Linked DNA regions of Rhinolophus ferrumequinum. The protein of the gene in region 4 purifies or fractionates together with the protein of the main gene of each other region. This does not show direct contact. Links are inferred from orthologs where the notes say so. Each region holds a gene or a part of one and is shown on either strand. Other genes may lie near its edges.

Region 1 (7,213 bases), on a different chromosome or scaffold from region 4:
GAACTGCAATAGTGTAAAAGTATGGAACCTCTAAGAAGCCTTTGCTAACTCAATTTCCTTAATTCACACAGCCTCTAGGTGGAGTACACAAACATGGCACCTTTTTGAAAGATTCCTTTGCAGCTTTGGTATGACTCAGCTTAAACTCTAAAAAAATACTAAATAATTGCCCAGTCTAGGTGCCCTGGGAAGTGAAGTATACAATTGGAAGTAAGTGTTTTCTTGACATTCGTTATTGTAAAAATTCTGAGGTGATTCAGCTGGGTTATGAATTGATTCCAGTTAAAAATGGAACATAGTGCTGCTTCTATGAATGGCAGGTTTCAACCATCCAATGTCAAAGCCCTGTAACATCCTTCAGAATTGGCTCCTATCATGGAAAGCATCACTTGAGAAATACCTGAAATTTGAAGACCTTCTAATGCCTAAAACACTGTAGTGTTGGAATGGATTGATCAATAATTTTTCTTGTATTTACCCATTTTTATATCCAATTGACAATAAAATGGAAAAATTACAGACTTGGGTATAAAAAAATGGTCCTGGTAGCTGAAATGTTTATAGTAATACTAGTAGAAAGGAACCAAATGGTTTCAGAGTAACAAGAAAAATCCCCTTTAATTTTTATTATCAATGGCCTATTTAGAAATTATTTTAACAAGTGAATCATCTTCCAAAATGTGCACTACAAGGTATATATACAGAGGGTGCCAAAAAAAATGTATCCACATTTTAAGAAAGGAAAAAAACTATTAAAATTGTAATAATGTATACCCATAACAAAAGGTGAACACAAGTCACGTTGGACTTCAGCAATTACGAGGTGCTCAACGTGGTTACCATCAGCATCCAGACACTTCTGATTACCGGAACTACTGCTTGAGCAATATTGACCAGAGTCATTGTATACATTTTTTTGGCACCCCAGTATATGTGCTATGTGCTTCATATGCGCATTTAAACTTTATAGAGGAGCACAGATTAAAGTGTTAATTATGGTTACTTATACAGGAGTGAGATGGGGAAGGCACTGAGTACAGAGGACTGTTACTTTATATATGTGTGTACAACTTTTTAAAAGTTTATTTCAATGAGCGCGTATTTTTATAATTTAAAAAATTAACACCCTACGTAAGATACTTCTTACAGATTAAAAACTAATTTTCATAGTGAAATGCCTTACATGACTTAATTAGCACAATAATTTAAAATGAACTTTGCTAAATAGATTTCTAAGTTCAAAGAAGTTATGTCCTCTATTTAGTTGTAAAATTACCACTGAAGTTAAACGTTTTCCCCCTCAAATTTCCAAAATGAAGCACTGGATTATTTTTAATAAAATCGCAAAGATTAGACCTTGGCAAATTTTACTTTTCTAAATATTTATTACTGCACATATTAAAACTATCTTCTTTAAGACCTTAAAACATACTTAGAAAAAATAGTAAAATTTTTTGCATTGCCATTAGGACTTTACCTTTTATCTCCTAGCCCACTTTTGTGTTTTATGTTCAGGATGTTTGGATGTGGAGTTATTTTAATTAGATTTCAATACGTTCGTGAAGAAAGTGTTCTTTCAGATTTAGAAGCCAGTAATTAAGTCCTGGTAATTAAGTATTTTCCTTATTTCTACTCTTGGGTTAAATGTAACTTTCTAGCTTAACAGTATTTTTGTTCCTGAGAGAGAGAGAAGATTTCAGTCATTAAAGGAAAGGAGTCCACGTTGTTCGAGGCGAGCCTGCGCGCGAGCATCCCGGGCGCTCCGGGCATCCCGGGCGCCGGCCAGGGAGCACCCACGGCCCCCGGGGAGCGCCGGCGCCCGGCCCGCGGCGCCGAGCCTGCGCCCGCCTCCCCTACTGGTTGGTCGAGGGAGCCAGAAATCAGCGCGAAGACAGCCTCGCTCTCCTCCCCAAAGCGGCCGGGAATGGCCACCCAAGAGAGTGCGGGGACTCCAGCGTAAGCCCTAAAGATGGATTTGCCTTTCCACTCGGGGGCCGGAAGGTGGGCAGGCGGGGCGCCGTGTTCGTCACCCGCGGAGAGGAGGCGTCGTGACGCCGGGGTCGGTGGCCCACTTCTTTACTCTGGGTAAGATGGCTCCGCTGCTAACTCGCCGGCGCGACCACACACATGCTTACCCCTTCCCAGCCTTCCCGCGGGGACCGTGGAGGCCGTTCGCGGCGCGGGGCCAGCCCGCCGCGACCCCCGGTCGGCTCCGCCGGCGGGAGTGCGGGTCTCGCGAGCCGCCGGTCCACCAGACAAAGCTGACAACATGGCTACCTCTGCTGGAACAAGTTCCTAGCAAGTTGAGCCGCGGCAGGCGCCCGGGCTGCGGCTGAACGCCTCGCGCGCCTCGGTGCCGTCGTCCATCAACTTCAAGTTTCCCTCCGCAGAGCCAAGCCCGGAGCCCGCAGCCCGCCCGGCGCCGAGCACCGGCCGCCCGCGCGAGGCCGGGCCCGGGAAACTTTCAACGTCTGCAGCCCGCAACTGACAGCCCGGCGACGGGCGGGCGCCCGACTCACCTTCAGACAGGTCCTCGATGCACTCGAAGGTGATCTCGAACTGGAATGGGTTGTAGAAAGGAGAAGGGTTATCCAGCACCACTACATTGTTCACCTGAACCTTTGCCATATTTTGAAAAAAACAAACAATGGGAACGGGGGCTTGTTGCGGCACAATCAAGTCCAGCGCGCGGCCGCCCGGGAGAGCGCAGACCCCCGCCGCGGCGCCGGCCCGACGTAGTGCAGCGGCGACTTGAGAAACTTTTTTTTCCTCTTTTTATTTACACGGGAACACTCCACAGTGTTTTGCAGCTTTCCTATTTCACTAAACTACAGCCCATTCTGCTCTGATAACTAGCAGCGTTGCTCGCGATTGGCTGCACCCGAGCTCTGACCCTCCTCCTCCACCGAGGGCCTTGGCGGCGAGCAAGATGGGCTCCCGCTCCCTGAATGGACTCGGAAACTTTAACTGCGGCTCCACCTGCTGGTGTGGATTAGGACAAAGGCAGAGAACAAAGTGAGTGGAATATGGGTTGGGAGGCCCGCGCGGAGGCCGCCGCCGGCGGGGGGGGTGAGGGGGGTTGGGGGGAGGGTGCAGGCCCCGCCCCCGGCCCGGCGGCTCCCGCGCCTCACGTCGGGCGTGGCCGCGGCGGGGCGGGGGTTGGCGATGGGCGTGGGCACGGCCGTGGCGGCGAGGGGCGTGGCCATGGAGGGGAGGCGTGCTCGCGGCTGCAACGGCGGCGGGGGGACGGGATCTTGTGTGACGCCCGCCCCTCGGGGTTTTTTTTGTGTGTTTTTCACTCTTTTTACAATAGTCCAACGGCTATACCGGCTCTCTACTGAATTTAGCAGATGTGATTCGGTTGTCTACACTAGGTTCAGCTGTCTGTGTGTTGGGTAATATTTCGGGTAGAGAGAAGGGTTGGTTGCAGTGGAAATAAATTGCGTTTTGTAGACCAATGCCATCTCGAAAGGAGCAAAGCCATTTTGGAAAGCTAGCTCTTAACCCGGTATCTGCGTTTGGGCACAACAGCGGTATTAGTTAAATGGAAACAAAATGAAAGGCGAAGAGACGCTTTTGCGCACACACTTTGCTTGGAAAATCGGAATAAATAGTATTTGGGCTGCAACTGGGTCTTCCTTTCCTATCTGGAAAGTCCTAGAATAAGAAAAAGATTATACTAGAGATGTGATCAGTTACACCCCTGGTTGCTGCCGTTTGGTGTGAGTAACAGGAACATAAAAGGAGAAAATGGAAGTATCGGGCGACCAAAGAGCAACAAATACAATCTGAGAAGGGAAAAGGAGAGTAGAGAACACAAAGGCATACCAAAGACATGTAATTTTCAAAAAATGTATGACCTAAACTGTTAGTAAATAAGAATTTGTAGCACTTCACACAACTTCTGGGAGCCTTTGCTTTATTCAATGTCGATTCATTTATGCTGCTTGACTACCATTGTGGAGAAAGGGAGAGCTTTTAACACATTTGTGAGATTGAACTGTTTGAATCTCTAAGTAAGAGTGGCATAAAGGTTTGTGTTATTACCTGCTTTTCATAAACCATCGTTTTTTCCTTAAGTGTTGTGACTGAAACCACTTAAGTTGGCTAATTTCAGAGAGAAAATTCTTAAGTATCACCTATGCTGGAAGAGTTTTCTCTTAGTATAGTGCCCAGAATTTTGAGTTGTCATTGTTTGGGCATTGTTCATACTTAAGTAGGTTGCTTTTGATGAGACTTCTTCATCTGATAGTCTCTTGAAAGTTAATATGGGACAGCTAATACCAGGCCTTCCCACCTTTAGGAGAACTATTTAGAGTGTGGGTCCCATTTTATCGTCAATGCAGTCAAATAGGACCTACTAGAAATGGTTTCCTCAAGCCCAGTTGTTTGTGTGCATTAGCATATGAGTCATACTGTGGTGAGAGGCACAGATTACAATGACTAATAAACTATTCTGTGTTCACTCTTATTAGTTCGGGTCCTAACGCTCGCTATGATAAATTGTAAATTGCTGTATGCTATACAGCGCACTAAATATATAAGATAAATGACTGAAAATTAAAACATGACTCCCTTAAGAATGGTGTGTGTAGTTTTCTGATTATTTTATATAAAATAAAATGCATTTTGCAGTCTGACCATAGTTGTGTGATAATAAGGTACATCTACCATAAAACTTGCTTTTGGTGAACATGCAACATCAAGAACTGAGAATATCTAACAGGATATGGGTTGTTTTCTTTGAAATCTTTTAACGTGTCATATACAGCACTATTGAAAGTGGAAGGAAAAACCTCCCTAATAGTTGACTGGAAGCCACAGGAATTGGCCCCAGTCCTCTCATATTGCCTCTCCTGTCTTAGCTGTTTTATTACTGCTCTTCAAAAATGTTGAACTGGGGGCCGGCCCGGTGGCTCAGGCGGTTAGAGCTCCATGCTCCTAACTCCGAAGGCTGCCAGTTCGATTCCCACATGGGCCAGTGGGCTCTCAACCACAAGGTTGCCAGTTCAATTCCTCGACTCCTGCGAGGGATGGTGGTCAGCGCCCCCTGCAACTAAGATTGAACATGGCCCCTTGAGCTGAGCTCACTCCTGGATGGCTCAATTGGTTGGAGCGCGTCCTCTCAACCACAAGATTGCCGGTTCGACTCCCGCAAGGGATGGTGGGCTGTGCCCCCTGAAACTAGAAATGGCAACTGGACCTGGAGCTGAGCTGCGCCCTCCACAACTAAGACTGAAAGGACAACAACTTGAAGCTGAACGGCACCCTCCACAATTAAGATTGAAAGGACAACTTGACTTGGAAAAAAGTCCTGGAAGTACACAGTTCCCCAATAAAGTCTTGTTCCCCTTCCCCAATAAAATCTTTAAAAAAACAAATGTCAAAGAATTTTTGAGCTCTCTGTCCAATAGTTTTCTCACCATTGGCAATACAGGAAAGACCAAAGAGACTCCCAGATGTGCCCTGGCATATTTCTAAATTACCTGGCATGTTGTAGGGGGGGAATTGTAAAAGCATCATTCTGCTTTCAGAGGCAATCTATAAAATCTTTCTGAACAATTTTTTGGTGACTCTCAAACAGCTAACCATATTTGCAACAGGTAAGTCACTATGAATGTTGTCATGTATTAAGTACCCAAGGGGGCCCACATGATGTGTGGAGAGCTACATTGAATGTAACACCCAAATTGCTTCTTTCTGTGCAGATTACTTGAGGGAAGGATGGCTGGAAGAGGTTGTTTTGTCTCTTAAGATGAACAAAGCCTAAATTAGTGCCTAGGACACAAATAAATGAACTTTGTTAGCTCTTGTTACAGGCCAAATTGTATCCCCCTCCCAAATTCATATTTTGAAGTATTAACACCCAGTACCTCAGAATGTGACTATATTTTGCGATAGGGCCTTTAAAGAGGTAAAGTTAACATTTAGTCCCATAGAGGCCCTAATCCAGTCTGTAAATGGTACCCTTCTACATCGAGGAAATTTGAACATATAAAGGGTACACATGCGCAGAGGAAAGACCATGTGAGGACACAGCAGGAAGGCGGCCATTTGCAAGCCAAGGAGCTAGGCCTGAAAAGAAACCAACCCTGCTGATACCTTGATCGTGTTTCCCTGAAAATAAGCCCCAGTTAAGATTGTCAGGCAGTCGGCCGCATTTAGTATGTTAAGACGATGTTCCAGGAGAAGATGACATGACTGTATTTGAATAAATGTAGATTGTTGTACATGAAAAAATAAGACATCCCCTGAAAATACGCCGTAATGCGTCTTTTGGAGCAAAAATTAATATAAGACCCAGTCTTATTTTCGGGGAAATACAGTTGTACTTCTAGCCTCTAGAACTTTGAGAAAATGCATTTCTGTTGTTTAAGCCGCCAGTGTGATATTTTGTTACGGTAGCCCTAGCAAACTAATACAGCTATAATTTTTTTTCCCCTTCAGAATTAGGCTTACTTATAACCTAAATTTATTTCATCCAATTATTGGTCAGTTATCAAGTACTTTCTGTGGTGTGAAATGAGGTGGTCATTTAGCCATGCCAGTAGGGTGTGGAGTGGTGTGCTGTAGCTGGTCTTCCATGAATGAGGTAGGCCCCGCTACTGCTGGGCATGCAGCTTAAATTCTGAAGAGACAAGACGCGGCTTGCTTCTGTGATCCCAAGCTCCTCTACAGAGGGCTTCTGAGAGTCTTAAACTAGAAGTTAAATTGAAATCACACACAAAGCAAGATGGCAGAATGAATTAAAATGTACTAGATTTAAATTGGATTAAGTTAAAATACACTGAGTTAAAATGTAGTAGAGCTAAGAAATCAAGTCTCAGTCCCTGCCTGCTGCAGAAGTTACAGGAATGAAAGTGCTAACTTCTTGCCTTGGTTCAAATCCTAGAGTCCACCTGTGTTAATTACATCATCACTGTTGAATTCTCTTTAAAGAAACACTTGCATTGTTACAAGCCAAATCTTTTTTACAAAAATTTTATTTAAGGATTGTTGTAATATCTTTAATTAAACTTAAAGGGCTTCCTATTATTATTAGTTACAGGATGTCAAAATTTAATGATAGTTTTAACTGAAATTTTATATTTAAAAGTACAGTGTCGAGATTTGCTAGAGTTTATAACCATTTCTAGAAGGAATAAATGCTACAGTAATGATCTTAATAATAACTCATTGTATATAGAGAGAGCATTTGTTGTGTGAAAGTACT
Region 2 (7,046 bases), on a different chromosome or scaffold from region 4:
CAGGGGTAAAGGGAAAGAACTCAAGGGTGAGGTGCACGGAATCCCGAGATTCAGCACTCCCAAAACGCGTACTCGAATATATTACTCTCCTGACCACCCCCCAACACCCTTCCCCCCCCCCGCGCCGCCGCGTGTCAGTGCTCCCGGAGCCGAGGGGCTGGTAACCAGACTGGGTGGGAGGAGGGCAGGGAAAGCACGTGGTGACCTCCCCGCCGTCCCGAGCTGTGGACAAGAGACGGGGGGGGGGGGGGGTCGCAAAACTCGATTTTTCAGTTGCTTCGCAAAATGAAAATGTTTTGCAAAGCCGCGTTTCTCCCCAGCGGATTTCGCAGTCGGGTTGGCCGAGAGAAGGTTTGGGTATTGTGCTGGGGGCGAGAGAACCGTGGACCCCGCTGGCGCAGAGTTGCGGCGCGGCCTGCCAGCAGTGCCGGCGGGCGGGCGCCGGGCGCCGGGTGGGCAATCTCGGGAAGGGCGGGGGCGCGGCAAGGCCCGGCGAGGCCCCAGCGAGGCCCGGCCGCGGCAGCCACCCGTTCCCGGGCTGCCGCGCCGCGCTCGGTCCTCTGTCTGTTTGTTGGCAGGAGGCTCCCGCACACGCGGTGCTTGTAAACATTCAGACACGAGATTTTTCCCAATCAAAATCCACTTCCACTTTTTTTGAAAATCTTCCAAAAAATAGTAAGAGGAGGGAGTTCCTCGCTCCCTCTCCGTGCCGCCGGCGCTCTAAGTTTGCAACTAAAGAGGTTTTGGGGAAGGGGGTAATTGTATTTCCCCCCCCCCCTATTTAAAGAGTGTGAGATTTTTGCGGTGGGGGGGGAGTCAAAGAGGAGCGCGTTGCAGAAACTGCCCGCGGAGCGTTTGGCTTCTGTTTTGGGGCAAGAAATTTTACATTCTCTTGCCTTGTTATATTTAGTTTTTAATTTAATTTGATTTAATTTTGCGCGTCTTCTATCCGCCACTGAGGTTCTCCCGGGAGTGGCGGGCAGCCACAACCCGGGCGGTGGCGGCACCCGCGCCCACCCTCCCTTTCTTGCTCACCCCCGGCCCTTGCTCCTGCCCTTCGGCGGCGGCGGCGCGGGAGGGCAAGCGCTAGAAGCCGGCACAAAAGGCAGCGGGACAAACACCCACCTCGGGCCGGAACAAAAGGCGGCAGCGCCGGCCGCGTCTCCCGTCCTTGCCGGTCGCCCGGCTCTCCGAGCCGCCGCGGCCCCTCTCCACACTCCGCAGACTCCAGAGCGCCGGGGGCCCCATCCCACAATCCCACTTTCTCACTATTGTGGAGATGACTACTTTCCTCCCGGTGCACACTTGACCGTGAGCGCGCTGATGTCCGAGGGCCAGTCTCACCTCTTTTCTCACTGGGAATTGTTTTTTAGGCTTGGGTTCTCTTACCCCCCCCACCCCGTTTTCCTTCCTTCGATGAGTGGAAGCAACCCCCCTTTATCCTCCAGTTCCCTCCCCTAGGTTTGCAAGAGAGTTGTTCGCATCCATACATAGCATTGTTCATTATTTTGCAAAATTAGAGGGGAAATCATTGCATTCCTTTTCGAACAGCGAAATAAAGCAGCGGAAAGCAGGAAAGAGGAGGAGTCAAATTTTTGTAAAATTAAAAGGTGCGTGCTGTCCCAAAAGTACATACGGCTATGATTCGAGATGGAATGAGGTTTGCTTTTTTTCCCCCTCCCTTTAATCTCTTTTATCCCGACTCTCGGAGGTTTTTCTCGTGAAAAAATTTTAAAATGCATGCACACACCCCTCTCCCCCCCTCGCTCTTGCTTCTGTCCTGCGCACTCTCGTGATTATTAATAATTATTATTACTATTATTGGGTTACTTACGCGAGAATTCCCGTTTGCTTAAGTGCTGGGGTTTGCCTTGCTTGCGGCGAGACATGGTGGGCTGCGGGGCGGGCGGGCGGCTGCGGCGGCGGCGGCGGCGGCGGCGGGCGGACGACGGCTCGGTTCACATCGGGAGAGCCGGGTTAGAAAGAAGGAGACTCCAGAGAAAATATCTTCATCAGTGCCTTTTGACATCCAAAATAAATTAGAAATAATACAAAGATGGCGCAGGGAAGATGAATTGTGGGAGAGCCGTCATGGCTTTTTTTTTTTAAGCAAAAAAAAAAAGAGAGAGAGAGAGAGAGAGAGAGAGAGAGAGAGGAGAGATAGAGGGGGAGAGAGAGAGAGAGAGAGAGAGAGAGAGATGAAAAAAATGGCAAAAGCCCCCCTGAGCTGCAAGTTCAAGTGCGGACGTGACGTCCCTGCGAACTTGAACGTCAGGAGTCTGGATGGACAGAGACACACAAAACATGGGCAGGGCGAGCAGGAGAGAGGGGAGGAGGGAAGGGGAAGCTCACACCAATGGACACACATCAGGGGCTGGACATGAAAAAGAGACCAGGACAAGCCAATGGCCAGTGCGGGGCGGGGGAGGTGCGGGGCGGGGGGCTCCGCAGATGCCAGACGCGGCCCCCGGGGGAGGGGCAGGCGGAGGGGAGGGGGAGCTGGGGCCGCGGGCTCACGAGTGGCCGCAGCCAACGCCGAAGCGGCGGCGTGGCCCGGGAAGAAGAAAGGGGCGACGGGGGGGGGGGTCAGGGGTTGGGGGCAGCAAGACGCGCTCCCTCCTCCTCGAGCACACGCACCCCAAAAATGAAAGATTTTTTTTTTTTTTATTAAAAAGCTGGCGTGTACGGGGAGACTGCAGCCCCGGGCCGAGGAAGCGCGGGCGGAGGGAAGCCAGGTAGAGTTGCTCCCGGACACCCTCCTCCGTGCGCACACCCACTTCCCCTCACCACTGCCGCTGCGCTCTCTCCCCGCGTGCGGACGCCGGGGCCCAAGTGAAAGCCCTGAGCCGGCGGCTGCGGTCGGGAAACTTTGCCCAAGGAGAGGATCGTAAAGAAAAATCACCCGAAGTTGAGAGTTGAGCCTCCAAGTTACAGCTTCGCAGCGGGCGAGGGGAGACGGGAGGGAGCGCGCGGCGAAACAGAGTCCAGCCCAAGTTTGGAGGGTGGCGGGTCCGAAAGGGCAGCCCCCGGGCTTCCCGGAGCCCTGGCTGCCTGGAGAGAGGGGCAAGGGCGAGGAGAGTGGTGCAGGCCTGGGTCGGAGGGCTGGGAGAGCGCCCCCAAGGCCAAACTGGGGGTGGAAGGGCTGTGGTTCTACGCGCCCCCACAAGCGATTGGGTCTGGATGCAACTAGAAGCACTGAGTCGAATCTCCCTAGGGTGGCGGAGAGAGGCTGAGGAATAAAGAACCCGGAGCCAGACTGGGGGCACGTTTTGGTCCCCGGAGGGGAGAGCCGGGGCCCTGGGCTAGGGAGGCGCCGAGGCGTCCACTTCACCGAGCGGCCGCAGGCCAGAGGACAAAGCACCGGCAGTCCCGGTAATTCCAATCCCTGGGAACGTGCTCCCGGCATTGAGCGAGGTCCCCGAGCCGGGTCCCAGGGATGGACACACCCCCTCCCATTCCCGAGCAACTGCAAAAGCACTGAGGAATAGAAAGAAATGTTTCTTACGGGCAGAGCACAACTATTCCTGTGCTGTTACCCGGGGAGAGAAAATGGGGAATGCAAAGAGAACGGCTGTCTCGCTGGAGCTACGGGGAGGCCATGTGGTGGGGTGACCGCCGGGGGTCAGCGCCGTGCTCCTCAAGCGCTCCTGGCCAAGGCGCACACGCTGGGAAACGGCAGCCCCGGTCTGGCCTTTCTGCAGACGTTCTCGGGAAATTAGGGAAGACCTGTTGGAAATAAACCCCTGTCTCTTTAATGCGCGCGCGCACGCGCGCGCGCGCACACACACACACACACACACACACACACACACACACACACTGCCGCTGTCAAAAAGCGGGCTTCACTCTGGCGTGGGATACTTTCAGTTTTACGTGAAATGTACAGCAACAGCACCCCCTGCGATTGGAAAGTTTATTCAGAAACGTGCCTGCAAAGTCCCCGGCGTCTCCCGCCTCCCAGCCTCCCTGCCTGCCTGCGCCACCCTGTAGCTTCAGCCGCCGCTGCCGCCGCGGAGACCGCGCTGCGATTGCAAATCCGGAAGGGCAGGGGGGAGGTGGAAAAGGGACTCAAGTCCAAGGGAGGCGCAAGCTTGCAGGGTGGAGGCAGGTGGCCGCAGCCCGCGAGACTCCAAGCTGCAGGTGGACGTGTGTGAGTGTGTATCTGCAGAGCAAGCAGTCTCCCCTGTGCTCCAAGGATTTCCACAACCCCTCGTGGTTCTCTTCCCCCTCTTCAGTCTAAGGGCCGTCTTTTTCATAAATTCGCCCACCCAGCAGGGGCTTTATTGTTTTAAGCAAGGGCCCCCGCCTTGCAATCGCGCACCCACTTCCCAGTCGCGCCGGCAAGCGGCTGTTTATTCATGTGTTGTCTTAGTAAAGTTTCAAACCTATTAGAAAATGACTGGCTTGCCTAGCTCGGTGAAGCTTCGGGCCCCTCTAAGGAAGAAAAGGAGGTTTTGATGCTCAACATTAGGAAAGATGTTAAGCTGGACTGAGTTAGTGTAAATGTGGTTTGTTGTTTCCTCCAGCTTGGGGGAGGAGGGAGACTCAAATCCCGTTTAAGAAGCAGGAAGATTTCACTTTCAGTAAAGCTCTGTAGATTGTGCGTTTGTGCGTTACACCATTTCCCCCTTGTCATGAGTTCTTCAGACCAGGTCAGCTTCTTTCTTCCACTACTGTCTATTTTTTTGTCTTGTTAAACTAGCCTTAAAGCGACCAAAAAATGTCTTTGCGGAGTTGGGGGAGGGGGCTGGGCAGCGGGACTTGGAGGAGAATGGTTGGAGGGAAGGTGAGCAAAGGGAAGAAGAAAGTACAACTGGGAGGCCTTTGAAAACAAATTGAAAAATAAAACCCCTTCAGGTAACAATAGTGAGTCAGATTCTTTCGGAACCGAGTTTTGCAAATTTAAATATTTTCCCCATCCATCCATAAATGTCCATACACAAAGAAGGTGTATAAATGGGCGAATGTGTGTTGTGGAAATATATATGTATGATTTATATATAATGGTATGTATAAAGCTTTTCAGGGTTGGCTGTAGTGTAAAAGTAATGACTTATTACCTCTGAAAGGTTCTGTGGTTCACATTTAACAGTCTTCTGAATTACAATTCATTACACAATTGTGTGCTCTCTAAAACTGGCACCCTATCAGGGCCGCTATCTGTGGTTATTTCCAATAAATAACTGGCAACATTTTATTGATTTTCTTTTTTAAAAAAATCATAGGAAATTAAGCACTTAGTTACAAGTAGGTCTGCTATGTTATTGCACTTGTTTCAGATTCCAGGGGGTTCCTTCCGAAACCACATCTTAAAACATACATTAAAAACCCAGTTTTGCAGCTGCTTTCCCTGGGTGCCAATGCAGAGGTAAGCAGCAACGTTTCCACCATTAACATATATTTCATTTCACCATCATAAAATGCCCCTGAGTGAAATAGGAAATGCCCTCCGCTCCCGCCCCTCCCCCAGCCTGATTTCACCCAGTCCAGAAAACCAGGGCTGTGTATAGGCATTTGGTCCCTCCTGGTCGTGGACCCCCACTCCGGGTTCCTTGGGCTAGTCCCTAGGAGTGACGCCCCCCTCCCTCATTGGGGTTAGATGCTCGCTAAAGCGCCCCAAAAGTGGGGGAGGGGAAGGGTTTTTATGTGTGCTTAAAGAAATAAAAATGTGTTGTTTTAAGAGCTTTAAAAATATTACATAAGTATTGATTAATGATGCAGGTGGTTTTGTAGAGGGGTGAAAGGTCACGTTAAACGCGCACACGTGAATACACAATAAGTATATTTACCTTTCCAAAAGTGGCTTTTAGAAAGTAATAAATTATGACAACGTTAAAATTATTTTTTGGCCGTTCAGTTAACTTCATTTGGAGCTGTAGAACCTTTGCTGGTTCCACTGAGGGGGCAATTACGCTCCGTGGGCTTTTTCCCAAACCTTTGGTGACGACATTGCGTGTAAACTCCAGGCCAACCGAGGACCCCTCCCCTCCCCTCCGCCCCCTTTTTATCTTGCCCGCGGAGGAGAGACTCCCCAGGACTTCCTCGCAGTATATATTCTGCCTCTGATCTCCGTACTTAATAGCCAAGTCCTGGTTTATGCTTTATAATGTGTTGACAAGTTTTCTAACAGACTTTCTGAAATAATGCACATATATTCACGTCGGTTAGAAACTCACCGTATTTTTAGAGTCTAGTAGATCTATACTCTAATGCAGTGAGAGAGTGTAAATCATAGAGGATTTCATAGTCCTTTCAGTAGTTTTCGGTATGAAGTATGAGCGCGTGGCCTCCAGACGTAACCTTTTAGAAAAAAAAGACAGTTGCTTTTATTTTATGGTGTAAAAGTGCTTTTAGCTCCAGGGCTCTGAACGTGAATGTGGTCAACAAACAGCTCGAAGAGGGAGACTTAATACAGTCCCAGCCCTCGTACAGAGGATCGCCTGGCGCGGGGGACTTGGGCTGAGCCAGAGAATGAAGGGTTAAAGGTCCGTCTAGAAGGAAACTACAAGATTAATGTAAAATATTCACTGTCTGCCTTTAGGGGGAAACCACCTTTATGAACTTAAAGATAAATAAATGAATGACTGAATGAATGATGGTTTAAAAATGCAATCGATCCCACCTTGCTTTTTCACTTTTTTTTTTCCTAGAGGACAGTTTAGAAGATAGAGAAAGGGCAGTCATCTCATAAAAATAAAACTTAGGTATAGATTCTACATTAGGCATAGGTTTTGCATTGGGGTTCTTGAGGGTAGGAGTACTAGGATTTTGTTTAGGACAAAGGAAATATTAATTAAAAAAGAGAAGGGAAGAGGGTTGTGTGAGAGGAAGGGGATGGGCTTTGTGTAGGCACCTCTAAATTGAAAGGTGAGCAGAAGGCCACAGTCCCCTCTTTCCTCAGACTCCCTAAGCTCCTAAACACCCACTCCCAGCCCTCCACCCCTCCACACACATAACATGTCTTATTCCTCTACTTCCAGTGTGATCCAGAGCCTGGGACCTGAGGAGGCCCCTGGAGGGGCAGTGTCCACATCTTCTGCAAAGGC
Region 3 (7,927 bases), on a different chromosome or scaffold from region 4:
CCCTTGGCATGTCCTTTCCTCCCTCGACATTTGTCTTCTATTCTCAACTTACACTTTTCTCCAGAAAAAAGCTAAAATATGTTCCATTGGAGGGACGTGTTATCTTAATAAATCCCAGAACACTGCCAATGTCTACACAATATGAGGTAAACTGCCTCAGTTGGATTTTTGGTGCTATTACTTAAAAAGGTTCTCTGCTAGACCCTCTTATGAGATAAACAGTCATTTCTACCTAACTATTTTCAAGTACATGCTGGTTTTCAGACATTTCAGAGCTCAGTGGCCTTTGGGAGGGGAGGAGGAAGGAGGGTGGTAGCAAAGGCGCTAGTGTTTATTTTTCCTGTTTCATTTTTCTACAACAGCTAAAAATTCTTGTAACACAGCATTTACTTAGAATTGAATTCCTGCCCAAGCCTGTGAGAATGAAATAGAATCCCTCTCAGAAAAAATGGCTCTACACCACCACCTTGAAACAAATTGTGAGTGATTCCACCTCGAAACCCTACTCCTTCAGAAGCATTACCTTTGGGGAACGCTAGTGCCAGGCTTAGGCTGTCTCTCTTCTACACAGTGTGTGGGAAACAATCAACACAGCTCAACACAGGTTTTCCAGTGGGGTCACTAGGGAAATGGAGCCCCAATTGCAGCAGCGCAGTCGTTCAGATGTGATGACATCCAACGGTTTAAAAGAACTGGACACTTCTTTTTTTTTTAAGGACTGAATAATATTATTATTGTAAGCTGCTCAAGGAAAGGCTCCCAACAACCTACACAGAAGGTAGGCAATGTTTTGAAGAAGATGAATTCACTGCTGTCTTACAATGAAGCATTTCACTTCAACATATGTCCCATCTGGACCACCTCAGTGTCTAGCCAGTTTACTTTCAGATAAATTCCATCCATTCATTCATTGATACGAGAGTTGTAGTAAGAGAGCCCCCAACTACTTAAAAATAGCATCTTTTAAGAGTTGCAAATGTATTATAATGAACTTAAAAAAAAATTGGGGGTGGGAGGGAAGAGCCTGGAAGAAAGGGCAAGAAAGATTTTGTATTTATTAAAGACTTAATAAAGTTTATGTATGGGGCTTGGAAATTAGATAATGGGTTTAAGAAATTAACCAGACGTTTAGGTGTTGTGTGACTTTGGCACTGTCACTCCCTATCTGGGCTTCAGTTTCAACTGTAAACTCGGCAAGTGGAAAAGTGGGACTCCTTTCAGTTTAACAATCAATCTCTGATTTCCCCCCACCAGTGGAGAGATTTTCTGAGAGAGAATGGATGTGAACCACCTAAGCTCCTAGCTGGTCTATCTGAATATTAAACACCCCCTTAATTCATTTCCAGTTCCTAATTGTGAGGCAGGCACCTAAAGCGTGCAGCAACAGATGTCAAAACTAAAAAGTTCTCAATTGGTTGACAATAGGTTCATCTTTAGAATTGTTAACTAGAAGAGGTGAAATCACACAGGAAAAGTTTTCCTATAGGTAGGCACAAAACACAGGGCAAGTCTATTCAAATTAACCCCCCCCCCCCAACTCCCACGCATTTCTACGGAAGCTACCCCTTGATTTTCTTCCTTCTAGTGTCTTCGACTGCAAGAACCACCTCCCAAGACCTGGTCTTGGCCTGATTTCTGCCACATCCTTGAAAATCCCATTTCCTCACAGCTGCCTGCGAAGCAGAGAGCTCCGGGATCGTCTGCAGAAGCCGAGGCCGCGGGCAGCCAGGGAAGTAACTGCCACCTTTCCTTTTCTGAAGGAATAACAGGGTTCCGTGGAGGAGAAGTTGGAGAAGTGTCGGGTCCCTTCACCACCCCTCCCCAATACTTGCTTCTTCGTAGGCCAACACAAGGAACCCCCTCTCCCTGCTTCAATATCTAAACCAATAAAACGAGCTAAAAACTGTTGTCAATCTTCCTAGGCAGGAAGGATCCTCGGAGTCCCCTGCCCAAACCTCCCGGATTTGGGCAGAATCCTGGGGAGAGCACGTCAGCGCTGAAGCGGCCTTAGAAACCCCGAGTCCAACTACTCAGTTAGCAGATAAAGGGTGGCGAGGCCCAGGGCGGGGAGGGCCCCGGAGTCCCGCGGGTAGTCCGAGGGCAGCCGCAGGCAGCCCAGTGGGGGCCGAGGGGGGGTGGGGACACTCACGCTCTTGTCGATGTCCAGCTTGAGTTTCTTCTGTGAGATGCTCTTCTGGACCCTCTTGCTGAAGGAGGCGTTGCCCGCGGGCCGGACGCAGCGCTCGCCGTCCTCGATGAGGCAGCAGCTCTGGCCGTAGCCCGGGGCAGCGGCCGGGGCGGCAGGGGGCCCTTCGCGGCTGTCCTCCTCGGTGCTAAAGCCGTTCATCTCCCCGCCCCGGGCCAGCCCCTCGGGAAGAGGTCACCTGTAGGCCACTCCGCGGCCGTACTCCCCGCGGGGCAGGTCGCTGAGACCCCCGGACCCGAGGGTCCCAGAGTCCGTCTCCAGACAAGGCACTGCACTGCCCCGCGCCCCGGAGGGCCCGCTCCGCTCCGCCACGCTCCGGCTCCTTTGGCTCCGGCCCGCGTCTCTGGAAAGCCCCTTCCTCCCCGCTCGAGGCCCCGGGGTTGACTCCAGCGGCTCGCAGGGCCCCGCCGGGGGTCACCCGGAGGCGCCTTCTGCCGGGGGCCCAGAACCGTTACCCTTCGGCAGGGGCGTCCGGGAGGGCGTCCCTGGAAGCGGCGGCTCCCCGGGGACTTCAGGCCGGGGTTGCCAGCGGGTTTCGAGGGCCCCCGCTGGCTCCCGCCTTCTTTCGGCTGCTGGACAAACTCGCCGCCGGGCAGCTCCCTCGGGGTGGCGCGGCCTCCCCGCGCGGGGCCCGGCCTCGAACCCGCGGCGCCCGGGCCCCGCGGAGTGTCCGGCCCGCCCCACCCCTGCAGCCCCTCGGCTGCGCCAGGAGTCCCGCGGCAGCCCCTGGGCCGCCCGGCCGCCGCCCGCCCAATGCTCCGCACCACAACAGTTCGCTGCCCCCGCCCTCCGCGGGACAGCGGAAGTCCCGCCTCCGTGCACCTATTGGCCGCATTTGCTCTCTGGGCGGGGTCGCCGCCGCCGCTGGCGTTCCCCATTGGGCCCCATTGCCGCCATTCCCCGGCGCCTGGCTACTTCCTGGACTCTGCTGGGATGGGTTCAAAGTAGAGAAAGTGGAAGAAGGAAGAGTTCCCAGGTTGAAGGAGGGGAACCGGGCTGCACTCTCCCTGCCCGGGGAGAGATGGTGACCCGGGGCCTGGCTGGAAGGAAGGCCAGACTCCGGGAACAGAGGATCATATTCGGGACAGACAGAAGTACAGACATGGGCGGGGGCGCAGAACGACTGACATGGAGAGGGACATATTTGGGGGGGTTGGCTAAAGGGGATAGAGGTACTGTCGTGAGAGAGACAGACCAGTTAAAACGGAAGGACAAGGACCAAAGGACCTGCAGACGTGGGAGGCAGGGTAGGTGAAACAGGACAGAAAGCCAGTCATGGCGGGAAAGACAGAGAACAACCCCATGTATATATATGGAAAGATGTAGAGAGGAGATGATGGGAGTTTGATGGCGAGTTTTGCAAGGTAGTGGGATGCTTGAGGGTGGCGGAGACCCCAGTCTGGAGACTGGGACTGACTTGGACCCTGCGGAAAGAGAAGGGAGGGAAGGAGACCCCCAGGGACTTGGGTGACCCCTCCGCTGAGAAGAAGCAGACGTCGGAATAAGGTCTGAAGGGTGAACTACCGTAGGTGAACCGCGGGGACGGAAGAGGTGCTGCGGAGGAGAGGGAAAAAAGGCTGGGGGGTGGAGGACCAAGGGCCAATCTCGGTTTGCAGACACTGGAAGAGCTTGCGGTGTGTTGGGCCCTCCCTGGAACTCTGGTGCGCTGTTAAGCTGTAGCTTCTGTTGCTTTAAGCCTCCTGGTCCACCCGCGAGGTGACCTTGCCCTGCCAAGCCCCTGAGCTTGGGGTTCAATGCCTAGGACGTCACACACACTCAGAAAGTCTGACAGAGAAATCCTCTGGTCTAGCACACTTATTCAGGGCACCTCTCCACTGGGCAGCTTGGGGACAAATGAGAGCCAAAGACCCCCAAGGGACCAGCCCAGGGTCATGAGGTCATGCAATCATTTAGGGCTGGGTAGCATTTTTCTTAAGGTGAGGGGCATGGACGGGTCAGGGAGTGTTAGGTGAGCACAGGTACCAATTTTGGTAGGACTACGTGGCATTCAAGAGAGATTTCTGGTTTGTGTGCTGTTGGAAAAGGGCAAGCTACCTGTTTCCATGGTTAGAAGCAGATGTTCTGTGATCTTAAATTTTCCTCAGTGGCTTTAAACGTACTTGCACCCTCTAGCCTACTAATTTCACATGTGGGACAGCCATTTTAGGAAACTGACCTACTAGAAAAAGTTTTGAACGTAATGTTCATTATGGGATTATTTATAATAGAAAAATAACCTAAAACATCCACAAGGGAAGTGGTTAAATAAACTAACATCTTCAGAATGAGATATTTTGCAGTCACTTGTGATGTTTTCAACTTTTAAAGTAGTTTCAACATCAATATAAACATTTTCTATATATAATAATCCAGCACTGACTCTTCAACAAAGAGTTGATGAGTTGGAGAAATGCTTTATTTATGCTAAATTAAAAATGCAGGGTATAAAATTACATATGAGATATGATGTATGTACATCTATGTTTTAAAAAATAAGAAAAAAGAAAAACTATTTGTACATAAGAAATACATCAAAGTTCTTATGTACTATTTGTACATAAGAAATACATAATAGTAGTTATTTCTGGGGAGTAGAAATATGGTTGATATTTTTCTTCTTTTGTTCTACCTTTGCATTTTCTCCAATATTTATTGCTTTTAAGTAGGAAAAAATAGAATAAAAATTAATGGAAAAAAGGCACAGTTTAATAGCATTCCTTCCTCAGAGTTCATATATTCAAAAGTAAATTATTGAGCATACTGTGTGTACTCATTTCAGGATTGGTCACAGGAGGAGGATGAAACATAATCCTTGCCTTAAAAGAGAATATCTTCTAGCAGGGAAGCTGAGACATATACACAGAAAACAGCTGGGCATCTGTACAAGGCAGTGTGGGATGTTGGTTCCAAAGTTTAATGGCAAGGATAAGAGCTCTACATTTCCCACATAAATTTTGTACTTATTTTTTTCAAACAGCATTTGCGTCCAGCATCAGGCTATTGCACTACACACAGCTTCTTTAGTACCAGCTTCCCCTGGTACCACTCCTGGGGCAGACAGGGTGGGGTGGGGGCAGGAGGCCTGTTCCTCAGGAACTATGTCTTAGCCCCGGGGGTACTGGCTGCTCCATCCATTTGCTATGCCTGTATTCTTTAGAGTTCTCTTCTCACTAGGCAATACCTTGTTACTACAGTCCCGTTATGGTTAATACATCTTTATATTAATCTTTCCCTGTTCAAATTATTGTGTGGTTTCTATCTTTTCATTGGTACCAGACTGATACCCCCAGCATCTATATATTTTTTTGGGGAGCAGGGACGCATGCTTTTAATCTATGCTTTATGGACAATTTTGTAGACTTCAAGGAATGCTTTATCATAAGCTTTCCCCGGGTTATTATGTAGATTCGTTCCAAACAACAATATTTGGAAAAAATTCTGATCCCTTTGCTGGGGGAATAAGCCTATAACTCCAGAAAGGAAACAAACATTCAGATAATGAAGAAATGAATACAGGAGAGAAGCTTCTGTGACCCTTGTTCTGCTTTGTGTTGGATTCAAGATTCTTGAAATAGCCAAGAGAATTTGATTTGCTACATTTAGAAGTCTAGGTAATTAATTTACAACACTGGCTTAAATGTTTAGAGCGATCTTGCTTTTTAGATTTGTAAGTCTGCCCTGTTAGGCATTTAAAGTGTTTGAGAAAATCAGGTACATTAAATTTATAACTGTAGTCTGAAATGTTGAAGGAAATTTGATTAATTAATGCTGTAAATCTCAAATGTTTAAGGAGGATCAAATCTACTAACTTCAGAATTAATTCAACAGTCATCAAAGAACAAGTGATTATTCTTATTTTTATATGAAAAATTACTAGATTTATAATGGAATAATAAGATTTATAAGTTGAATTTAAAGCCTTAAAGAAAAGCTAGGTTTTAAAATGGGCATCTTGAGTCAGCAACTGTAACATTCTTTTCTATCCCCTAACCTACCCCCAGATGTTTAAAGTTGCAGGTCTATAACTCCTAACTGTATAGTCTAAGGGAGACCTCTCCTCTGAGCTCCAGATAGCAACATGTAGTTCTTTGCTTGGAATGCTCTTGAGGGACTGCTGACCAACATGAACAAGTTAAAACCTTCTCTGACACCTGAATCCATAAACTGCAACATGTATCACCTTTACGTCTCCCTTCCGCTCACCATACTCCAAGTCAACTCATTGAAGCACTTCCCTTCCATTAGATATTCAGAATCTGTCCGTCTGTCTCATTTCCTGCAGCCAGCAGCCCAGCCCAGGCCATCATTGTCCTTTGCCTGAAATGCTTCATTGGCCTCTGAGCTGGTCCCTAGGGAGTATCTACACAAACCAGACCGTGCCACACCCCCCTTAAGGCCCCTCGCCAGCTTCCCCGTGTATTCTAACATCTCTCTGCCTCTGTCATCCTTCCTTAAGTTCTTCACATAAGCCAAGCTTCTTCCTGCCTCGAGGTCTTTGCACTTGCAGCTCCCCCTGCCTGGAATGCCGGTCGGCCTGTTCCTCCTATGGCTAGCTCCATCCTTCACGTCTTAATATAAGTGTCACCTCCCCCAGACAATCTCCGCGACCCCTGCCCCTCATTATTCTCTATTCAGTGTCTTTTTTTTTAAAATTAGCATTCATCGTAATATGCCTATTTCATTATTATTTTTGTTGCGTGGCTGTCTCTCCCATGACAATGTAAACTCCAATAAGGCAGGGACCACGTCTGTCCTGTGTGCTGCTATAGCTCCAGTGCATACAACACTAGTTCTCCGATTCTGGTGGCTAACCAAGTAGGCACTCTAAACATTTTTTCAGTAATTAATTTAAATATACCCAACTATATCAAGATTATGTTAAAAAAAGATACAAGGCAGTATGTGGAGTGTAAATTCCACTTGCATTTCTTACAAATTTTGTACACACCTACTGGGGACACATGAGAAACTAGTACTTGTGGTTGCTTTTATGGAGGGGTCTGCATGTCAAAGGAGGGAAGGTAGTGAGAATTTGAATTTTATGACCTTGTTTCCTGTTTGGATATTTTACTATATGCCTGTATTTTCTCTTATAATAATAAGCAGGAAATGTGGAATGCCAAAAATGTAGGAAGAATCTAGGAATAAAGGACAGTCATTTAAGTGGAATAAATTTAGCTTTACGAAAAGCCTACAACATTGTCTTTATTTTCCTCCTTCCACTGAGGACCCGTGAGAGCTTCCTCTGGCTCTGACCCTAGTCTGCAGCCTGGCACTTAACAGGCATTGTAGCTATTAGCACTGTGGATAAGAGCAAAGGCTCTGGACTCAAGCACTTGGTTTGAATCCCAGCTCTGCCACTTTACTAGCTATAGGATCATTCACAGCTTTCTTAACTGTATGAACCTCAGTTTTCTTCATCTGTAAAATGGGACAATAGTACTTCTCTTATAGGCCTCTGATGAGTATCCAATGTGATCATGTAAAGTACTTAGCACAGTTGTCTTGCACAAAGTAAGTGCTCACTAAGTGGTAGTTATTTCATCCATTATACGCTGACACCCTAAACTTCCCACTGTTTAGATTTCTGCATGTTAGGGAAGAAGACATCCTATCGCAATATGGCAGGATGGTCCTGTTTATCTGCCAGTTGTTCAGTTTCCACACAGGCAGTCTCCACATCCATCTGCACAGCCAAGATTGGGAAGGTGCTTGATTATT
Region 4 (7,253 bases):
AGGGGGATTTATTTTTCACTCTATGCACTTTCGTACCATCTGAATTTGAATGACTGCAAAGCTTTTTAGGTAGAGATTAAATTAGTCTCAATACATTTAAGAAATTATTTAATAAGGTAATATAAAATAATGATCTACCAGTTTTGAAAAGTAATTTAAGAAACACCTAAATAATTTAAAAAGCCAAATCAATTATGTGGACAATTACCTAACTCAATTTAAGGACAACAGCTCAGAAAGTGCAAGTAATCATTCAGAAGAAGGTTGTATGTAGGCAGAAGGCCTTGTGAGGTTGAGTAGGGTCGAGTTCCTCAAAGACCCAAGCCGTAACAGCAGCCAACATTTCTACTGCTCTGTATAGTGACAAAACACAATCACAGTCCCTTTATACCCCAAAAAGAACCCTGCAAAGCACACACAGCAATCCTCAACATCCAAGAATGCAGGCTGGCTGGCATTTTCTTGCATTCCCAGAGCCACTGCACGTCCCACAACCAGATCCCACTTCTTTGCATGCAAAGAACACCATGGAATACATAATTTACTTACAGTATTTTCTGCTAAGTTCTTAAGTGTTCATATAAAAGCAATACCTGGACTGAAAACATACAGATCTATTATCTTTAAAAAAATCTTTATGCAAAACACATTATAGGTACCATTTTAAAGACTTCAGTAAGCAGCTTTCATTGAAATCCAAATGGAGAAACAGTGTTACTGCATCCTCTCTAACAAATTATTTCTGAATAGGAGTCAGCACCAGTCACTGCTGTGTACTTACCCTGCACCAGCACTTTAACATGCATGATCTTATGTAATTCCCTCAAATGTAAGCAGTCAGTACAATCAGCACCTCCATTAACAGACCAGACAAGTCAGGGATAGAGACTGACCAACTCGCTCTAAATTCACAAAGCTACTAAAAAGGGGGAGGATTCAAGCTCAGGTCTCTAACCTTAAAGCCCTCACTCTTTGCTATTGTTATAGTCAGTCAAAAAGCTCCAAGAGAATGTAAATTAAGAGAATGTAAATCCGCTTAATAGGAAGACTCAAAGAGTCAAATGCACAGGAGTACCCTTAAGTAACTGATGCTCAAAGTTATTTTAAATGTCAACGTTTAGAAGTCTCCATTATTTAGTTCTTGGCTACTCTTCCCACATCTATATTTTTACCCTGAGATTTCTTTGGGAACTTAAAAGGAAGCCCCTAACTGTATGGAAGTCAATGTTCATATATGGAGAATCTGGCCATTATGAGTAATTTTATATAAAATTAACTTACTCTATTTTTGTAACTTGTTGCAAAATCCCGTTCTAGATTAGAGTTTGATTAATCCTCATTAAATTATATGCACACAATACCCAAGTTTAATACGCTTCTAAAGTGCACGGTCAAGTTCCTACAAGAAAAAGTCCAAATGTATGAGGAAGGTTGTCTAGTGCAGGGACTACCTGAACTCTGGGGCTACCTTTTAGATTTGAAAGCCCCTCTCCACCATTTGCCATCTGTGCGATCTTAGGCATGTTACTTAACATCAGTAAAACAAGGATGATAAAAAGTAATCAAAGTACTTATTCTCAATACTAAACCAAACAACAGAAGGTAAAAAACTGTAGATGTGCCAGGCCCTGTTCTAAGTGCTCAATAAATGTCAGCAATTATTACCAGAGAAATTTTAGAAATAGCTGAAAACAAAACACGCTTATGAAGACCAACAGCAACCTCAAAGTGTATTTCATACTGTAAGCCAGTAATGTCACTTTTTTTTTTTTTGAACTGTTGCTAAATTCTTTTCCCCTTTGCTAATTAAAACGTATGCATCTTGGGGGCTGGTTATATGGGTGTGTTCACTTTGTAAAAATTCATCAAGCCACATGCTTATGATTTGTGCACTCTTCTGTACATTTATTTTTCAACAAAGTTTGAAAGAAATCCATTCATCTGGGCCCAGAGAGATGCTGTTTCATATTTAAGCCCAAGAAATGTTAAATATATCTGGTGCTTCCAGCAAATATCATTAATCTCACAACAGATTCTTTCTCCCACTTCAACGCCACACTTATACATCAGAAATCATCCCATAAACCGCTTGTTAGTTTTGAAAATAAAAAATCACCTGCCACCTCATCCAAGGGCTAAATTGATTACATGCTTATGTTCTACATAGAAAATGCCAAAAGTAGGAAATTCAGGCCAACAGTGAAATTTGTGCAAAATAAAAGTTGCCAGGAACCCTTACTTAGTCACTTCAGGAAGCCACTGAACGGTAAGACTTGGCCACTGAAGAGCATGGGTCATAACCAGGTCATACAGAAACGGTGTATTCTTCTTCCAGATTTTATATTCTTCATTGATGACACGCTCCTCCACAGTATCTTCAAACACTGAAATTTGGAGAAAGCCCATACGATTAAAGGGTTGAGAGGGATCGAAGTCAAAACCTGTACACAGATACTGGAGGTCACCTCGAGAAGGCCACACCTAATCTACTCTTTCTCTTTACCTCTAATTTGGACTCGAACAACTAACTGCTCTTCCAGAACATGGAGAGAATATTAATACCAGGAAGCTGATTTTTTGCACTTTGAGATCAATATCGCCTGCGTATACAGAACTGGGTAATTACACGGACGTCGAAATTGTTTTGCCGATTACAGCCGTTCGCACCTGTTCTAAGATGACGACCCGTTCGTAGAGGGGCTCCACGACCCACCCAGGGAGACGAATCCACGTGTAGCAGAAAGCCACCGACCCGCTCCCTCCATCCCCCACAAGAGGCCTCCGCTCCCACAAAGCCGGCTTCGGCAGCCATAGACCGGCGGGTTCCAGAATTCCCCGGACAAGGGCCGCGACCCCGAGGCGTCGACGCGCGCGTGGAAAGAGCCGCCGTGCCCGCTTTCCGGCGGCGAAGGCCGCCTCCGCTCGGGGGCCGAGGGCGACGGAGGGAGCGCCGCCGCCGGAGGGGGGGGCAAAAGGGGGGAAGGGGGCCCAACCCGCGGCCCCGCGCCCGACTCCGGAAGTGCTCAGAGCCCTCCGCTCCGCGCCGCGTCCCGCGTAGGCCCCTGGAGGCGCTCGCCCAGCCTCGCGCCCGGCCCCGCCCCCTGCTCCGCACGCCAATTCGCGCCTTTCGCCGGCGCGTGCCGCGGCCTCGCGAGCCCGCCGCCCCCCGCGGCCCCGGCGCGCGCCGCCCCGCAGGGCCTCTTACTCTCTTTACTCGCCATCTTGCGTCGGGTTGTTCGCCCCTCGCCGCCGCCTCGGACTCCCCTCGCTTGCCAAGAGCAGCCCAACTGCAGGCGCTCCTGCCTTTCCCAGGCGCGCCACACGCTTCTAGTTCTCGAAGCCTGAGCTCTGTCTCACGGCCTGGGTGCTCCCCAGACGCCGAGTCCTTCTCTCCCGCCTCCTCCCCGCTTACGGGTACCGAGGACTGAGGAGCTCTTCTCTCTCTCTCTCTCTCCAAACTTGGAACGAGACTTTTCAACCCGCGCCTCCCAGCCCGCCCAGGCAGCTGAGCGCAGGCGCACCCGTCCTGGGAAAAGTAAGAGGCGGTAGAGAGGCGGGGTTGAGAGCAGACGGCATCGTCGTCTCGACCAATGACGTTTGATAGGTAGGTTTCACGCGGCGTTTGGAGGCGGGCTTCTGAGGGTAGGCGGGGCGTTCCGCCACAGGAAGTTGGCGAGGCGCAGGCGCGAGGACTCGCCCTGCGCTCCCAGGGCCGGGCGTGGGGGCGGATGGGGGCGCGCGGGGGTGGGGCGACTGGAGGCGAGGCTTGCAGGCTGCGCGGGGGCTGCGAGCCCAGGAGGCGAGCCCTGAGGCCGCGGGGCGTGGTTGCTTGCAGCGGCCGCGGCGGTGGGGGTGGAAGGGGGGCAGGGAGGCTGCCACCGCTTAGCCAAGCAAAATCTCAGAGCGAGAGAAGAAAATGGTTTCTAGTCTCGAGAGATTACTGTGCCCTCAAAGTCTCCCCGATAATCATGGGCATGCAATTCTGTGCACCCCGAAAGGTTTCCCTCCTGCCGACTGGCCTTTCCTGAGGCCTGGGCGAGCCTAGGTGGGGTTTGTCGGAGGCAAAGGGGACTTTTTGCAGAGGCCGCGGGCGTTTTGTGAGTGCAGAAGACGGCGGGCCTCCCTGTTAGGTTAAACCTGTGGCAGGCCGCCAAAGGCCCAAAGCTGACTTGAATTACATTTTCGTTTGTTCACACGTTTGGGTCCTTCAGACGATGATTTGCAGCCTCTCTTGTATTCAGAGGATTTTGTCTCTGCACTGGAGTTATTGTCTCCTTCCCAGCCCCGGGCCCCTGCTGAGTCATTCTTAGCACCTGCGGGGTGTCCCAGGGCAAACCCACCCGAAGCTGGCCGGGGAAAGCTGCGCGAAACTAACCTGGGCTGGCTTTCCTGAGCCCTCCTCTGCCTGGGAGCTTGGTAGCCCCTGAGGAGTGCGTTGGGGTGAGGAGAAAGCGGGCTGCAAGGCTAAAAGGGCCCGGGGCAGAGGGGACGGGGTAGGAGGAGGTGGTCGTGGTGCTACGTGCAAAGGGAACAATAGTCTATATCCAGACTCCGAGAGAGGCTCTCCCTGCATAAGCATCTCGCGGAACATTTGCTGCCTTGATATTTTCCAAGTGCCTTCATGCAAGTCACCATGGTGATTTTCAAACGAAATCGTGCATTTGCCGCTGTGATGCCCACTTTTCTGATCGGGAAACAAACCCAGACGTTAAACCTAGTCGGTGGCAGAACCACTCATATTACCTTATATAGAAATTTACTGTCGGGTGTCTTTGGTTTCCTATACGATATGCCTTCATGTCAGGCCCAGGAATCTTAAAAGACCAAAGCCGAGGAGGGGAGGCGCTGGAGAGGGAAGACAGTTGGGAGGGTGTTTAAACAATACAGCCATGCTCATGTTTTAGGATACTCGTTGGCAAACGTTTCTCTAACCAGATCGTATTTCAGGCTTTGGGGGCAACCACTCAACGGCCGCGTTGTAGCGAGAAAGCAGCCCTGGATAACATGGGTGAACCTGGCTGTATTCCAATAAAACTTTATAGACACTGAAATTTGAACTTTATGTAGTTTTCATGTGTCACAAAATATTCTTTTGAATTTTTTCAACCACTTGAAAATGGAAAAATTTTTGGCTTATGGACCATACAAAAACAGGCAGAGGGTTCAATTTAGTCGGAGGACTGTAGTTTGCCCACCTTGTTCTGGAATAATTGTGTCTTACAGCTGTACTTCAGTGGGTACCTCCTCACGTGCACAGCAAGAGAAGGCTTGGCAGACGATTTGATTTCCAGTCTCCCTTTAATATATTTTACTTATTTCTGATGGGTGAGCATGATTTCCAAACCTTATGAAATGTTTAAAGAGTTGAAAAATTTTACCAGACGATGTTGCTTTAAAATCTTTGTACTGTTCAGTTCACTGAGGGTCAGAGAAGGGAGTATGAAGCAGATACTTAGGAGTTTCTGAAAATATGCAGGCACTATCATATACTTAATCCAAAAGTATCATGTACAGCATATTGCATTAGCTGTGTGTGTGTGTGTGTAATCTATCAATTCTGTTTCTCTAAATTTTTTTTGGTCTTTTTTCCAGTCAGGTACCTTTTTTGCATCAAAAATGTAATACCAGTTTTCTCTTTTAAATTGTTTTAACTGTTCAGTTTTGTTTTTTGCCTTTCACCCCGACTTCTTAGCTCTGGTCCTCCTCTTTTCTCCCACTTTCTCTGTGGTTGCCTTTTTGTCTCACTTGCACTCAGCTTAGTCTACTCGTCGAGTAAGGCACCAATAGGTACATGCACAAGGTGTGGGCTACCTTAACTGAGAGAGGCCCTATTTAGGCACCTACCTTTCTCTAAGACTGCTTACCTCAAAGTTGCTGTAGTGTTAACCATCATTTCTCCATGCTGATGGTGTTTTACAGACTAGTACACTTTTATATAAACTGAAACAAGTTACACCAAACAGTGCTGACCTTTAATATGTGTGATGCACGCTGGTATTTTATTTCATTTTTTAAATATGCAAGTTACCCTTTACATTAATTTTGTGATCGCACTTAGTCACAACTTGGAGTTTGAAAAACACAGGACGCTAGGATAATTTTGAAACCTCTAGCTAGTTGCCTGAACACCCTTTATAAAATAGTAGCACTCCCTCATCTTGCCCCCACAGGTAATCACTCTCTGTCCCCTTTATGTTTTTTTCTCATAGCACTTATCATAACCTGACACATGTTTGTTCATAGGCTTTCCTCCTACACGAGAATGTAAATTGATGGCAGGATCTTTGTTTTGTTGTATTCCCGGCACCTGGGCCAGTGTTTACTAGATGAGGAAGCTCAGGCAGAGAGTGGTGAAATTTCTTGCCAAGGTCACATAGCTAGTGAGTGTTGGAGTTGGAATTTGAATTCAATCGGTCTTATATTAAGACAGCAAAAGTGATTGTGTTAGAATGAACTGCTTACCAAAAGGAATGAGAGAGGGAATATCCCCAAACATGGCTGCCCAGTGATTCTGTGTTCATTAGCATCCCTGTCTCACTAGTTTTTGGAGAAAATCTTAGCCATTCAGAAATATTTTTGAAGTACCTACTGTGTGCCAACTGGTGTTCTGGAGATACCTGGAATGAACAAGACATATAGAGCACCTGCTCTTTTATACATTCCTTTATCATTTGATTTTCTTATTGCAAACCAAAGCTCATTACAGAAAATCTGAAAATTACACAAGCAAAAGAGGAGCATAATGAAAACCAATTTTGTTTCTGGCCAAATCATTTTCATTCAAATCATTAGCAGCAGCAGAAAATACACAAACACATTAATAGCCATTGTCTCTTGGTTACCGGTATTATTGTGGATGATGGTTGTTTTATTCATATGTTGCTTTATTTAAAAATTTTCTCCAGTGGACAGGCATTACTCTTATAAACAGAAAAACCCCCATACATTTTAGGAAAAAATGTATAAACGAATGGTAGAAGAGTAATGCAGACAAATGAAAAGTGTTGTCTTAGTGTGATAGAATGCTAAGTAATTTCTCTTAAAATATTGTTTAATGCAGTTGTGTGAGAGAGAGCTGAAGGAAAATTATTGTAAAGTAAAAACTCACTGTACTTGTTTGAACCTATACTTTGTTTTCATTTACTATTGTGATATTTAAGTAAAGTGAAGTAATTGTTTTGTACTTCTAAGTGTGTTAATATTTAATCTTTGTAGGGTGTCCCTCTGGATTTCTGAAAGGCCAACTTACCCTG

The links. Proteins that work in one complex are often made in the same cells at the same time.
Region 1: the proteins of RBBP7 (region 4) and ASF1A purify together in Homo sapiens (affinity purification with mass spectrometry; 5 studies listed by BioGRID and IntAct, counting the BioPlex papers as one, with this or other methods). This does not show direct contact. The link is inferred for Rhinolophus ferrumequinum from reciprocal best matches to the Homo sapiens genes RBBP7 and ASF1A.
Region 2: the proteins of RBBP7 (region 4) and BCL11A purify together in Homo sapiens (affinity purification with mass spectrometry; 4 studies listed by BioGRID and IntAct, counting the BioPlex papers as one, with this or other methods). This does not show direct contact. The link is inferred for Rhinolophus ferrumequinum from reciprocal best matches to the Homo sapiens genes RBBP7 and BCL11A.
Region 3: the proteins of RBBP7 (region 4) and SAP30L purify together in Homo sapiens (affinity purification with mass spectrometry; 3 studies listed by BioGRID and IntAct, counting the BioPlex papers as one, with this or other methods). This does not show direct contact. The link is inferred for Rhinolophus ferrumequinum from reciprocal best matches to the Homo sapiens genes RBBP7 and SAP30L.

What each region holds. Positions count from the first base shown.
Region 1 is NC_046286.1:69,169,593-69,176,805, reverse strand, and holds the start of ASF1A (histone chaperone ASF1A), read right to left. Parts: upstream 3,014-7,213; 5' UTR 2,629-3,013; coding exon 2,520-2,628; intron 1-2,519. UniProt on the Homo sapiens protein: Histone chaperone that facilitates histone deposition and histone exchange and removal during nucleosome assembly and disassembly.
Region 2 is NC_046296.1:28,338,336-28,345,381, reverse strand, and holds the start of BCL11A (B-cell lymphoma/leukemia 11A), read right to left. Parts: upstream 3,014-7,046; 5' UTR 2,903-3,013; intron 2,326-2,902; exon of another isoform or gene 2,020-2,325; 5' UTR 1,890-2,019; coding exon 1,835-1,889; intron 1-1,834. UniProt on the Homo sapiens protein: Transcription factor. Associated with the BAF SWI/SNF chromatin remodeling complex. Binds to the 5'-TGACCA-3' sequence motif in regulatory regions of target genes, including a distal promoter of the HBG1 hemoglobin subunit gamma-1 gene.
Region 3 is NC_046307.1:25,425,630-25,433,556, reverse strand, and holds the start of SAP30L (histone deacetylase complex subunit SAP30L), read right to left. Parts: upstream 3,014-7,927; 5' UTR 2,348-3,013; coding exon 2,150-2,347; intron 1-2,149.
Region 4 is NC_046284.1:113,990,604-113,997,856, reverse strand, and holds the start of RBBP7 (histone-binding protein RBBP7), read right to left. Parts: upstream 3,017-7,253; 5' UTR 2,813-3,016; coding exon 2,668-2,812; intron 2,385-2,667; coding exon 2,240-2,384; intron 1-2,239. UniProt on the Homo sapiens protein: Core histone-binding subunit that may target chromatin remodeling factors, histone acetyltransferases and histone deacetylases to their histone substrates in a manner that is regulated by nucleosomal DNA.